3 linked regions of the Xenopus tropicalis genome follow. The protein of the gene in region 1 purifies or fractionates together with the protein of each later gene. This does not show direct contact. Links are inferred from orthologs where the notes say so. Each region holds a gene or a part of one and is shown on either strand. Other genes may lie near its edges. The genes, in order: usp36, gnl2 and dhx33.

Region 1 (3,657 bases):
CTAGCGTACATATAAAACACTTGTGATTTCTTCCTGTACATATTACAACTATTTTCTGGAACTTAACCAATCTTTCTAACCTAAATTCAGATTACAAACACACACTGAAATTAATGGTAGACTGCTTTTAGTATAAGGTCTTGCTGTTCAATAAATAGGAGATGATTTAACCAGATTTAAAAACCAATGTGTGGTTTTAGCATTAACAGAAATTATTACAGAGGCGTACCCGTATCTCCAAAGCAATGTCCAGATAGGGATCGTAAGTGTCAGATACATTCTTACAAACAGAGCATGTCACTGAAAGAAAAAGAAAAATAATTAGTATTTGGCATAGCACTTTTAAAAACAAACATAGGTCCTTACGGGAAAAAATAAAAATAATTGTACCCTGAATCTCAATAGTGAATCTGGGTGTTTTTTTTCTTTCACTTGTTTGTGGTCTTAACCTCATTTAACATTAATCCTTTTTTGGGGTAATTTGTAGCCTTTACCAACTTTCATTGCAATGCTGTTAGGATACACCTAATTTATGAATTAGGAGAGATGTTCTCTCTAAAAACTGAATCTCGCCCATAACTTTTCGCATGACAAAGCATAAAAATTACGTTTTCTCATCCAACTAAACCTGAGCCAAAATATGTAAATAAAATGCCTTAAAAATTAATACAGAATACAGATTTCTCAAAATTTGAGGGAAAAAATTTGCATGCTGGCTCACATACTTCCATTCATTTTAATGAGGCTAAAAAAACTCCAATGTGTTAAAATAACATTATTTTGAGACTATTCCTATAGACTGCTACAGAACCTGGCCAACTTTTATTTGCAGAGTTTTCTGTGGCAATGTTTTGTTGGTTTTATCATCTTCAATATATCCCGACAATTCGAGGTCTCAAAAAAAATACTCCAGTGAGTATTTGAGTTTTTCTCAAATCGATGGAGGAAAAAGCAAACTCTATTTTTCATAATTAGCCCCCCCAGTGTCTTTAAACCTGAGAAATACGAAGCTCCATACTTACCACGGGACCGCAAATAGCCCCCAAATATCTGATGCACCAAGGAAGTTGCCTGGCTATGCCGATCCAGTCTAGGTAGAGGAACAATATATATATTCCAATGTTATTTATTTTTTTTAATGTATATTGACAAATATAGGAGGCAGTGGGAAGTATTGTATAAGACAGATTTCTTGGTTTAAAATTTAAGTTTATATTATCAACTATATAAAAATCCAATGATTGTTCCACGCTAGACTTGAAGGCCAGGAAACAAGTTGCAGCCATCCAAAACAATAGCCGTTTAAATAGCATTTGATTTTTCACAAACATATGGCCAAAGATAATGGCCATGGGTATTTTTTTTTTTTTAATTTTGTTCTCTCTATGGTTCACTTTTACTTTACACTTATGGAATAAGATATTGCTTTGAATACCTAAAAATTAAAAAACAAATTGATCACATCTACGCCAAATCCTCTGTTCAAGTTTCCACTTGCTTTATCATGAAAAGCAATTACATTTGTCTTGTCCTTCACAAACACAAGCTGATTACTACTCATAAATCTGTTCTTCAGATCTTGAAATTTTTTTGAATAACTAGTACTTTCTTTCTTGCCAAACATAACATCATGACACATTTAAAAGAAAAAAAGTGTATGAAACCATGAAATTTCATAAATAGTCACATAATTGCCCATTTTAGCCATTCTAGAATAGATTCTTTAATGTCAAATGCCCTAACGGACTGAAGAATCAAATGCAGACAAACCTTGCATATCCATTAAGACAGGCCTTCTGCATGGCATCAATAGTGTAGCGCAGAAACTCATGAGCATCCTCCTGGCTCCCAAATCGAAAATGACGTGCAATTTCTGGATTTTGCCAAAGGTGAGAGGTGTAATTAAAAAAAGCAATAAATGTTTTTTCACGTAAAGTTAAGAAGCACAAACAATGGCTCCACTAAATGCTTTTATGATCATTAAATAATTTGTGGACACTATATACTTCTTGAGGATAAAAACACACACCACCTATTTATTGTAATAGAGTAACATATCACAAATATATTTAATATTTGTGCAAACATACAATTGGTTTGGAAAGCTCTAGGTCTCTTTAACGTTTAATATCAAATATGTTTAGGTTTATGGAGATTCCTGAAATACAGATCAGAAAACCAAGCATGAATGCCAAATGTCTATTTAGCAGGACTAATGTTAAAAATGTGAATGACAATGTCTGAGCAATGTCTGCTAGAAATAAAAAGTCACATATCCGATTCATGCATTTAAAAGGGAACCACAAATTGGAATAAATGTCTTGCTCCTGATTGAACTGACCATTTTCCTGCACCTCTGTCTCAAATCCCCCCAATTCCCTTACTTTAGCTTCCAGAATGTATCACTTACAAATGGAACAAAGATTCTTCTGCATTTCCCTATTCAGAATAGGTGAGCTTTTTATAGGTTTCCACCCCTCTTTTGGAACTGAAAAGCATACCATAAAGTAGCCCTCTGCCGACCATCAAACAGGAAATGTACAATGAAGGCAGAGAGACAAGGATATACATCAGCAGGAGAAGCAAACAGTGCAGCAGTCTACGACCTAACTGAGCCAATCAGGAGAAATGTGCTAAAGGCAGAGTGACTGCTAGCAGGCATAAGGAATTCTTCTCAATCTTCAGACCAGATAGTTACTAGGTGAAGATAGGGTGGATGGTGCACATTTATACTGGAAAAGCAAAAGGAACTCCAACTCCCAAAATCCAGTGCGTACACATGGATAAGGTTCAATGTAGGAGTGACAGCTTGAAGAGTGACAAAATGGTTTGTTTTTGTCAAGCGCAGGACATTTTTTCCCATACATGGTTCCTTTCAAACAGCATTATAGTTAGACCTCTTTAAAATAAAAAGCAACAGTATACAACTACATTTTTTAATCAGAGAAATAGAAGCATGAAACACTATGCAGCTAATGAGTAAACATCAAATTCACACTTACTTTTCAAGTCACGAATGAAAGAAACTGGCTTTACATTATTTCCACTGTTTGCAAACACTTGAATGAGGTGGTTTTGCATGATGCAGAGCATACAGAATCCACTTTGCTGACCTACAGGTAAAAAGTTATAAACGTTTAAATGTGAATATACTAAATTTATCCAAGTTACTCTAGAGATTTCCAATAAAAGCTTACAGTTGCGGCTGTGCTCCTTAGACAACAAGTAGTTAGCAAGAGGAGGAGTGTAGGTAAGACACTGAACTGTTGCATTGAGGAAGCACGTATTTCCTAGATTTTGAAGTCCTGCCCCGACCCTGGAGATTCGGTCCCATTTCATGGACAACTTGTCAGCTGGGAACAGAATTTTTTGAGGAACAGGAACCCCATCTGACCTTCCAGTAGAGAGGTCAACATCTGCAAAAAAGATTTAGGCAGAAGGCAGTAACATGAATCAGAAGAGAAAATAAAATTGTCCACCCTTGTCTTTTACTGATGCCACTGATTTTATTATTATTCTTTTTCTCTAAAGCTCTGAACTTTATGAACAGCTAATTACAGAGACTGCCATTATTTATATTAGTTCCTGCCATGGTCAAGTTTACAAACTAAAAGGTCCCTACCATGCACACACAAACACAAAGTTAAATTTGCCGTA
Region 2 (3,657 bases), on another chromosome or scaffold:
CTTCTAGGAACAACCGTGGCAAAGTCATTAAAACCCTGCAGCACCAATCATCAGTTGCCCCCGGAACTGTTGCCAGGGTGGAACCCAATATCAAATGGTTTGGTTAGTATCCCCAGACCCATTTATTTAATCATGAAGTGTATGTTTTGCTTACAGAAATAAGCTCTGTCCAGTTCTGTTTCATTTATACCATGTTTCTTATATTCACTTAAATATAGTTTGTGCATTGTAAAGCCCACCGAACAGTTATGCTTTACAAGAAGTTGGCAGTATTTGACATTAGACTAAGAATTATATACAGCTGATATTTAAGCAGTTGTCCATAGAGATCTTTACTTTCATCGCACAGGTATCCCATAAGTGGTCTTTCCAGGTTACAACTACCACCTTTTTGTTTGTCCATTTTTACGAAACTGTTAAATGTCTTATAAGAATAACATTCTATGTGCCAAATATGAAAAAATGTAAGAGGGTTATATTTATGATCATTTATTTATACCACCATTTAATCTATATATATTTCAGCACAATTATTATTCACGATAAATGGAGTGTTGGTCCTTCATTCGTTTATATATTCGCTTTACTTGTTTGTACTCAGCGCAGATGCTGTCAATTTGCTTGACTTTCCCAATATTTTTTGAATAGGGAACACCCGTGTTGTTAAGCAGTCGTCTTTGCAAAAATTCCAGGACGAAATGGATGCTGTAATGAAAGATCCATACAGAGTGGTGATGAAACAGAGCAAGCTGCCTATGTCTCTTCTGCATGATCGTGTAAAACCTCATGTAAGTCTGTCTTAAGGTTTTAATGTTTGCTACTAAACATAAACAGCGTGTGTGATTTTTCAGGCATATTTGCAAAATATAAAAAATTTAGCAGAAACAATCTAATGCAGACCAGATTTCTCCCACTGAGCTGCTTTTTGGACTATTCAGCTACTGAATGTATGTATGTGTTTAAAGCATTGTACTTACTTCTAGGCTTGAATTGTGTATTACTGAATGGCATCCCCCATGTAACGTTATTGATACTGCTTCCTTGATGATGTAGTTGGTGATAATTGGAACATAACTTTCCCGTACTTGCTTCTATTTTTTTATTTGTGTAAAGGTGGTCATACATGGGCTCATAAAAGCTGCAGACTAACAGTCGGCAGCTTATCAGGCCATATATGGGGCCCTCAGATGTGCCTGCTTGCTACTTTCCTTAGCTTTGGCTATACTTTAGGCAAGAGTTGCAATGGCAGTTAACCTGATTAATGTGGCCTATAGGGTATAGCGTGCTTGAGCATAAACAGTGACCTCAAAACATTTTCTGGCTCTGAGTTTATAGGCTAAGCTTTTCTGAATCATTGGTGTTATAACTGTTGCAATAAGGGACTAGTAAAAAAAAAAAAAAAAAAAAAATAGTTTTCCCATATGTATAATTTTTCTAATTTGTCAGATTTATCAAAGTTTGGGGAAAATGTTCTTTATTTTTACATTTTATCCCCAGTTTTTTATAGTATCTTTTTTCCTGGGTGAAAACACATGAAAAAATGTATTGAACTGCAAGGCTTTTCTATGAACTTATGTACAATGTGAAAACTGTTTCATGACTTTTCACCATGTTTGAGCATATAACATTGCACCTGTCACAAAAACAAAGCCCAGCTCCAACCATGCTGCAGTGTCATAATTCTCCCCACTCCGTGAGGAACAGGTAGCTTCACTTCTCTTTACCACACACCCAGCCAGCTACACTTTTGATTTAATAGCTTCCAATGTATCCGTTCACTACCATCTGCCACCCAGCACTTCTCTCTCTCCTCCAGTCTTTTTGTCCCCACCAGGATATTCCCTTCTGATTTAAAAGGGGTGGTTAACTTTTAGTATGTTATAGAATGGCCAAGTCTAACCAACTTTTCAATTGGTCTTTATTATTTATTTCTTACAGTTTTTTAATTATTTGCTGCCGCCTTCCAATTTTTTGCAGTTTTTAAATGGGGGTCACTGACCCCAGCAGCCAAAAAAAACTATTGCTCTGTGAGGCTGCAGTGTTACTGTTACTTTCAGGCCCTCTTCTATTCTTATAACTGTCTCTCATCCAACTCCCTAGTTGCTAGGCTAACTTGGACCCTAGCAACCAAATAGCTGCTGAAGCTCCAAACTGGAGAGCTCCTGACTGAAAATAAAATAACCAAAAAAAAAAAAAACTACAATTAATAAAAAATGAAGATCAATTGCAAATTGTCTCAGAATAGCACTCGCTACATCATACCAAAAGTTAACTCAAATGTGAATAACCCATTTAAACATGCACTTATTACATCTACTTATTACATTTAGAATATGTTTACTACCTCTTAACCCACTTTTCTCTAACTTTCTACTTTGTCTACTTTAGTCTTTTTATGCACTGCATTCAACTGAAACTTACAAAAGCATCCATTGTCCCTTTGCGAAATGTATAGGGCAGTTCTCTGTGCTAAAACTTGACCTTTCTGCTGCTTTTGTTACAGTGGATCAGTATATAGTGATACATTAAATGTCATCAACATAAAGATCGTACTGGAATCAAAATGATTTTGAATTGACCTAGAAATTAAGTGTATAGTTAGAAGAAAAGTGGTCCATGGAAAGAACCTTTAGGGACCCCAAGTCTCTAAGAAGTGGTAAGGAGGTTTTATCTAACAAGGAAAGTGTAGTCATTCGAGTTGTAGGAATGGATTGAGAGAGTGGGGGTGAGCGATTAGTTATGAAGGGATTGGATTATAGAGAATCTAGAGAATGATAATTATGGGAAAATTTCCAGAATTATTTTTTCATTGTTGATAGAACATGAAAGGAGTGTATCCACCCCCCCCCCATTCCAACCTTTGCTTAATCTGCCCCTAAGAGAAATTTACTAGCCATCACTGTTCCTTCACACAAGTTAGTCCTGGAACAAGAAATAATAGCTCTGGTATCTTAAAATCAATGCTAAAACTAGGGACCCACCAAATACATTTTTTTTTTCAAATTCAGCCAAAACTTCCATAAAAATTTGTCTGAATCCCCCCTTATCCCCCATCTTGTTTATTCTAGCAATTGAACCCTTAGCGGAACTCATCAGACAGGACCCAAATATTACAGGCCCCCAAATAGGACAATCAATGCATAAACAATGTCTTTATGCAGATGATATCCTTATGACTATAACCAAACCACTAACCTCACTACCCAACTTGATTCATCTTCTAGATGTGTTTGGGAACATTTCAGGCTTAAGCATAAACCATAGCAAATCAGAAGCTTTAAACATCACCCTACCACAACATACGGTCAAGCTACTGAAATAAAATTTTGATTTCAAATGGCAAAAGGCCACCATCCATTATTTGGGCGTTAATATCCCAAATCATGTATCTACTGTATACCAACACAATTATCCACAACTATGGAAAATGGCGAGAGAGAACTTACAATCATGGTCCAAAATGGACATATCTTGGTTTGGGAGAATCTATGCTTTTAAGATGACGCTTTTACCTAAGATACTATATTTATTTAGAACATTACCGATACCTATTCCCGACCAAGACCTTAGCAACATGCAGAGAAAAGTATTTCAATTTATCTGGGCGGATAAACACCCCAGAATTACTCGACAGACTATGGGGCTGATTTACTTACC
Region 3 (3,757 bases), on another chromosome or scaffold:
GGTCCAAAAGAGGCCCCCTATTGAAAACAGATTTCACGAGATGGTTCTTTAACTTCCCATGGTGCCATAGAAACCTGACATTATTAATGATTTAACAATTAAATGTTCATTTTTACTAAATGTAACTTTAGCAGAAAGCAAATAGAAAAAAAAAGCTTCTTTAGGGCTCTGGCACACGGGGGAGATTAGTCGCCTTGCGAGGCTGTTTCAGCGATTTGCCGAAATCGCACCGCCGCGTGTGCCATCCCACCGGCGACTTACATGTTCGCCGGTGAGATGGCAGGGGAAGGCAACTCGGGGAGATTAGTCGCCCATGAACAGGGAGTTTTGTCGCGGGCGACTAATCTCCCCGTGTGCCAGAGCCCTTAAAGAGGCAGTTCACCTTTAAAAGAACTTTTAGTATGTTATAGAATGGGTAATTCTAAGCAACTTTTCAATTGGTCTTCATTATTTATGCTTTTTTTTCAATTATTTGCCTTCTTCTTCTAACTAGAGCTTTCAAATGGGGGTCCCTGACCTCGGCAGCCAAAATACAATTTTTTTTTAAAGGCACCACTTTTACTGTTATTGAAACATTTAATAACTTTATTTCCTATTCTGGTCCTCTCCTATTCATATTCCAGTCTTTGAAACCACTCCCTGCCTGATGAGGTAATTTAGACCCTTACCAACCAGATAACTGCAGAAACTCCACACTAGACAGCTGCTGAACAAAAAATTGAAATAACTAAAAACCTACAAATAGAAAATGAAGACCAATTGCAAATTGTCTCAGAATATTACTCCCTATACCATACTGCGAAGTTATTTGTATGATGTCACCATACAGTTCATCTAGTGTAAACATGACCACTGAATGAAAAGCAGAAGGGCTGCCCTACGTGTGAAGCAGTACCTATAAGGCACTTCCGGTATTGCTTCTTCTCCTACAGGAAGCACGTGTATCAGAGGACAGCTATGACGTCTCTTTCGTGCGCCAGGAACATGCTGGGCTACTGAAGCGCTTACGGTTCTAGAAGAGTTCGGATTACCGGCGGGTAATATGAATCATCATGGCCACAAACAGCCCCCGGCTAAAAAGTTTAAGCCGGGCTCCCCTCCGGTCAAACCCAAAATGCAGGCGGCGATTCATTGTGGCCCTAAGAAAATGACGGTGGAGGAACAGCGCCGGAGTCTCCCTATCTACCTGGCCCGGTCTCAGATCATTGCGCAGCTTCGGAAGCTGGACAGTGTAGTGATCATAGGTGTGTGATGCTAGTAGTGTTCAGAGCTGCAGTGAGCCAAGGCAGCCTGGGAATGTGATCATATATTTAATATGGGGCAAAAATAAATAATTGAGCCATCGTTAGTTAAGTGGGCTTCTCAGCGTACCAGTCTATAGAGAAGGTTTTTCTACTTTCCGGGTTCTAATCCACTTCCCCATTTGCGTCCCAAAATGCAGTTGGCCTCCCTGAATTCCTAAAGAGGTTACACGCCTTTTAAATCATCCCTAGGGTAGTTTCAGGGGTATTCCAAACATCTGGGGCTAATCTATGAACACATTTGTATCTGGGCAGTAACCTATGGAAACCAATGAAATATCATTCATATTTGTATCTACAGCTGCCTGTAGAATCACAGTTTCTTTCAAAATAAGCCCCCCTAGTATGTCCATAAACTTTATAAGTCTGGTTCTCATGCTAAACCTGTTACTTTGGATCTCCTATGAAGGTGTTTTATAGCAGTATATATTTTAGCATGTAACTAAAGGCTGTTGGGAGATAGATGTAGTTGTAGTTTAAGGGTAGCAGGTGGGTGATCATATGACAGCTTTTATCTAGAGCTTCTCTCATTGCTATGGATAGACCTAGATTAAACAAAACTATATATATATGTCCTGATTATAATGAGTTGTCCCTTTTACAATAATCATTGTCTGTTAGTCAGTGGGTTTACTACATGAGACACTTATGGAAGTTATTTGTGGTTGTTTCCGCAATTGGTATTGTTTGAATCTTAAAGGGGACCTGTCACCCTAAAGGTGGCCATACACGAGGCGATTTCGCTCGTTGTGCAATGAACGATTATATCGACAAACGATCGTATGGCGATCGAGTTCCCATACGATATGCCATCCACGGGCAACGATAATTCGGGAAAGATTTCGTCGCATCATTATCGTAAAATACGTACGATCGTACATCTACGTACGATCGAATGTCGTTGACTTCCGCTGCTGGCAATCGTGACATGCGCAGAGAACAATCGTTGAAAGACAAATGTCTGACACTCACACCAACTGGCAGATTTTATCGTTAAACGACCAAAATTTTTAAACCTGGCCGATCGATTTTGGGGACGATAATGTCGGCTCGTTTAGTGGGCCGACGATCGTTCGTACACCACCAACTATACGATAACTTAACGATAGCATCGGATTGTTCGGGAATCGGTCGTTTGTAAGTAAAAAATCGGTCCGTGTATGGCCACCTTAAGAAATAATTCCAAATTGTTTTTCTATTGTATTTGTCAAGTAAAATAAACTTCACTTACACTGTATAAATTATTTTAATCTTATTTTCTTTAGCCTTGGAATTCACAATTGCAGGAAGTAGACAGTCGCCATTTTGTGGACACTGTTATAAGGCAAGCTTTGTATCACCCCAAAATCTTGTTTCTGTGCCTGTATGGGGGGACCTGATGCTCATACTCATGCACTGGTTACACAATTAGATGGTGAGGAGGGAGGGGGAATGTGAGGAGAGCAGCAACATCTAAGAAGTTCTGAATTGAAAGTGAAAGTAACTGTCTGCCCTGCCCCTATGCCTAAGGCATAGAGGCGGGACAGGCAATATATGATTGACAGCTGGGATTTTTAAATGCTTTTATAATGGGTTTGGATGTGTTAATAAAAAAATGAGTGGGTTTCATGTTTAATTTGAAAAGGACTTTTATTATACAGCTTTTTATGTCTGGGTGACAGGTCCACTTTAATACCATTTGCATTGATTTATTTATGAGAATATGTTGGTGTAGATACATGTTAGCTACTTATGTTTTATGATTAACATGTGTTTTAGCATATTTTATTAAGCATGTGCACTTTATGTGGTACACGTGTGGTGTAATTAACTTTTTTTTTAAAATTTGTTGCAGATTTTGCACTTGTTTTGATTGATACAATAATAGACACAGATGCATTTTTATGAAGTGCTACTTTTTATATTGATTAATTTCAATGTTACATTGTAACTTTAACACTTTGGACATAATTTTTTTTAGAAGTTTCTGCTAATATGTTACACTTTAACTACTTGTGTGCGTAGTTCACTTTGGTGTGTGGGTTCTTAAGAGATGTGATTCACTTTCTGTTTTACATCCTGACGACGTTCCCAGATGGATCGAAACGCGTTGATGTAGATGGCAAATTGATGAAACAATAAATATTTTGTACTTTCAAGGACAAATGCTGTGAATGCTTTGCATTTATAAAATTGGTCCTAGCCATGGAATTAGCCTGATATTGGGGAAAAAGATCTGCTCTTTTGGCAACCTTGCCAAACCAGTGTATCTTAACGTTTATGGCCACCTTTTTGTTCACTTTATTGGCACTTACAACAACCAACTTTTAGATTGTAAACACTTTTGGGCAGGACCTTCTTTACCTCTTGTATCAGTTATTGTTGCTTTGTATGTAAATTTTTAACTTCAGTGCATACACACACGAAATATGTTAGCACTTTATAAATACATGATAATAGCTATCTGTAAGCAATGC

What was found.
Region 2: the proteins of usp36 (region 1) and gnl2 purify together in Homo sapiens (affinity purification with mass spectrometry; 3 studies listed by BioGRID and IntAct, with this or other methods). This does not show direct contact. The link is inferred for Xenopus tropicalis from reciprocal best matches to the Homo sapiens genes USP36 and GNL2.
Region 3: the proteins of usp36 (region 1) and dhx33 purify together in Homo sapiens (affinity purification with mass spectrometry; 5 studies listed by BioGRID and IntAct, counting the BioPlex papers as one, with this or other methods). This does not show direct contact. The link is inferred for Xenopus tropicalis from reciprocal best matches to the Homo sapiens genes USP36 and DHX33.

The regions. Positions count from the first base shown.
Region 1 is NC_030686.2:31,713,370-31,717,026, reverse strand, and holds part of usp36 (ubiquitin carboxyl-terminal hydrolase 36), read right to left. Parts: intron 3,417-3,657; coding exon 3,198-3,416; intron 3,114-3,197; coding exon 3,003-3,113; intron 1,874-3,002; coding exon 1,771-1,873; intron 1,091-1,770; coding exon 1,023-1,090; intron 301-1,022; coding exon 230-300; intron 1-229. UniProt on the Homo sapiens protein: Deubiquitinase essential for the regulation of nucleolar structure and function. Required for cell and organism viability.
Region 2 is NC_030678.2:84,731,477-84,735,133, reverse strand, and holds part of gnl2 (nucleolar GTP-binding protein 2), read left to right. Parts: intron 1-7; coding exon 8-102; intron 103-648; coding exon 649-788; intron 789-3,657. UniProt on the Homo sapiens protein: GTPase that associates with pre-60S ribosomal subunits in the nucleolus and is required for their nuclear export and maturation.
Region 3 is NC_030678.2:101,918,648-101,922,404, forward strand, and holds the start of dhx33 (ATP-dependent RNA helicase DHX33), read left to right. Parts: upstream 1-904; 5' UTR 905-1,042; coding exon 1,043-1,244; intron 1,245-3,757. UniProt on the Homo sapiens protein: Implicated in nucleolar organization, ribosome biogenesis, protein synthesis and cytoplasmic dsRNA sensing. Stimulates RNA polymerase I transcription of the 47S precursor rRNA.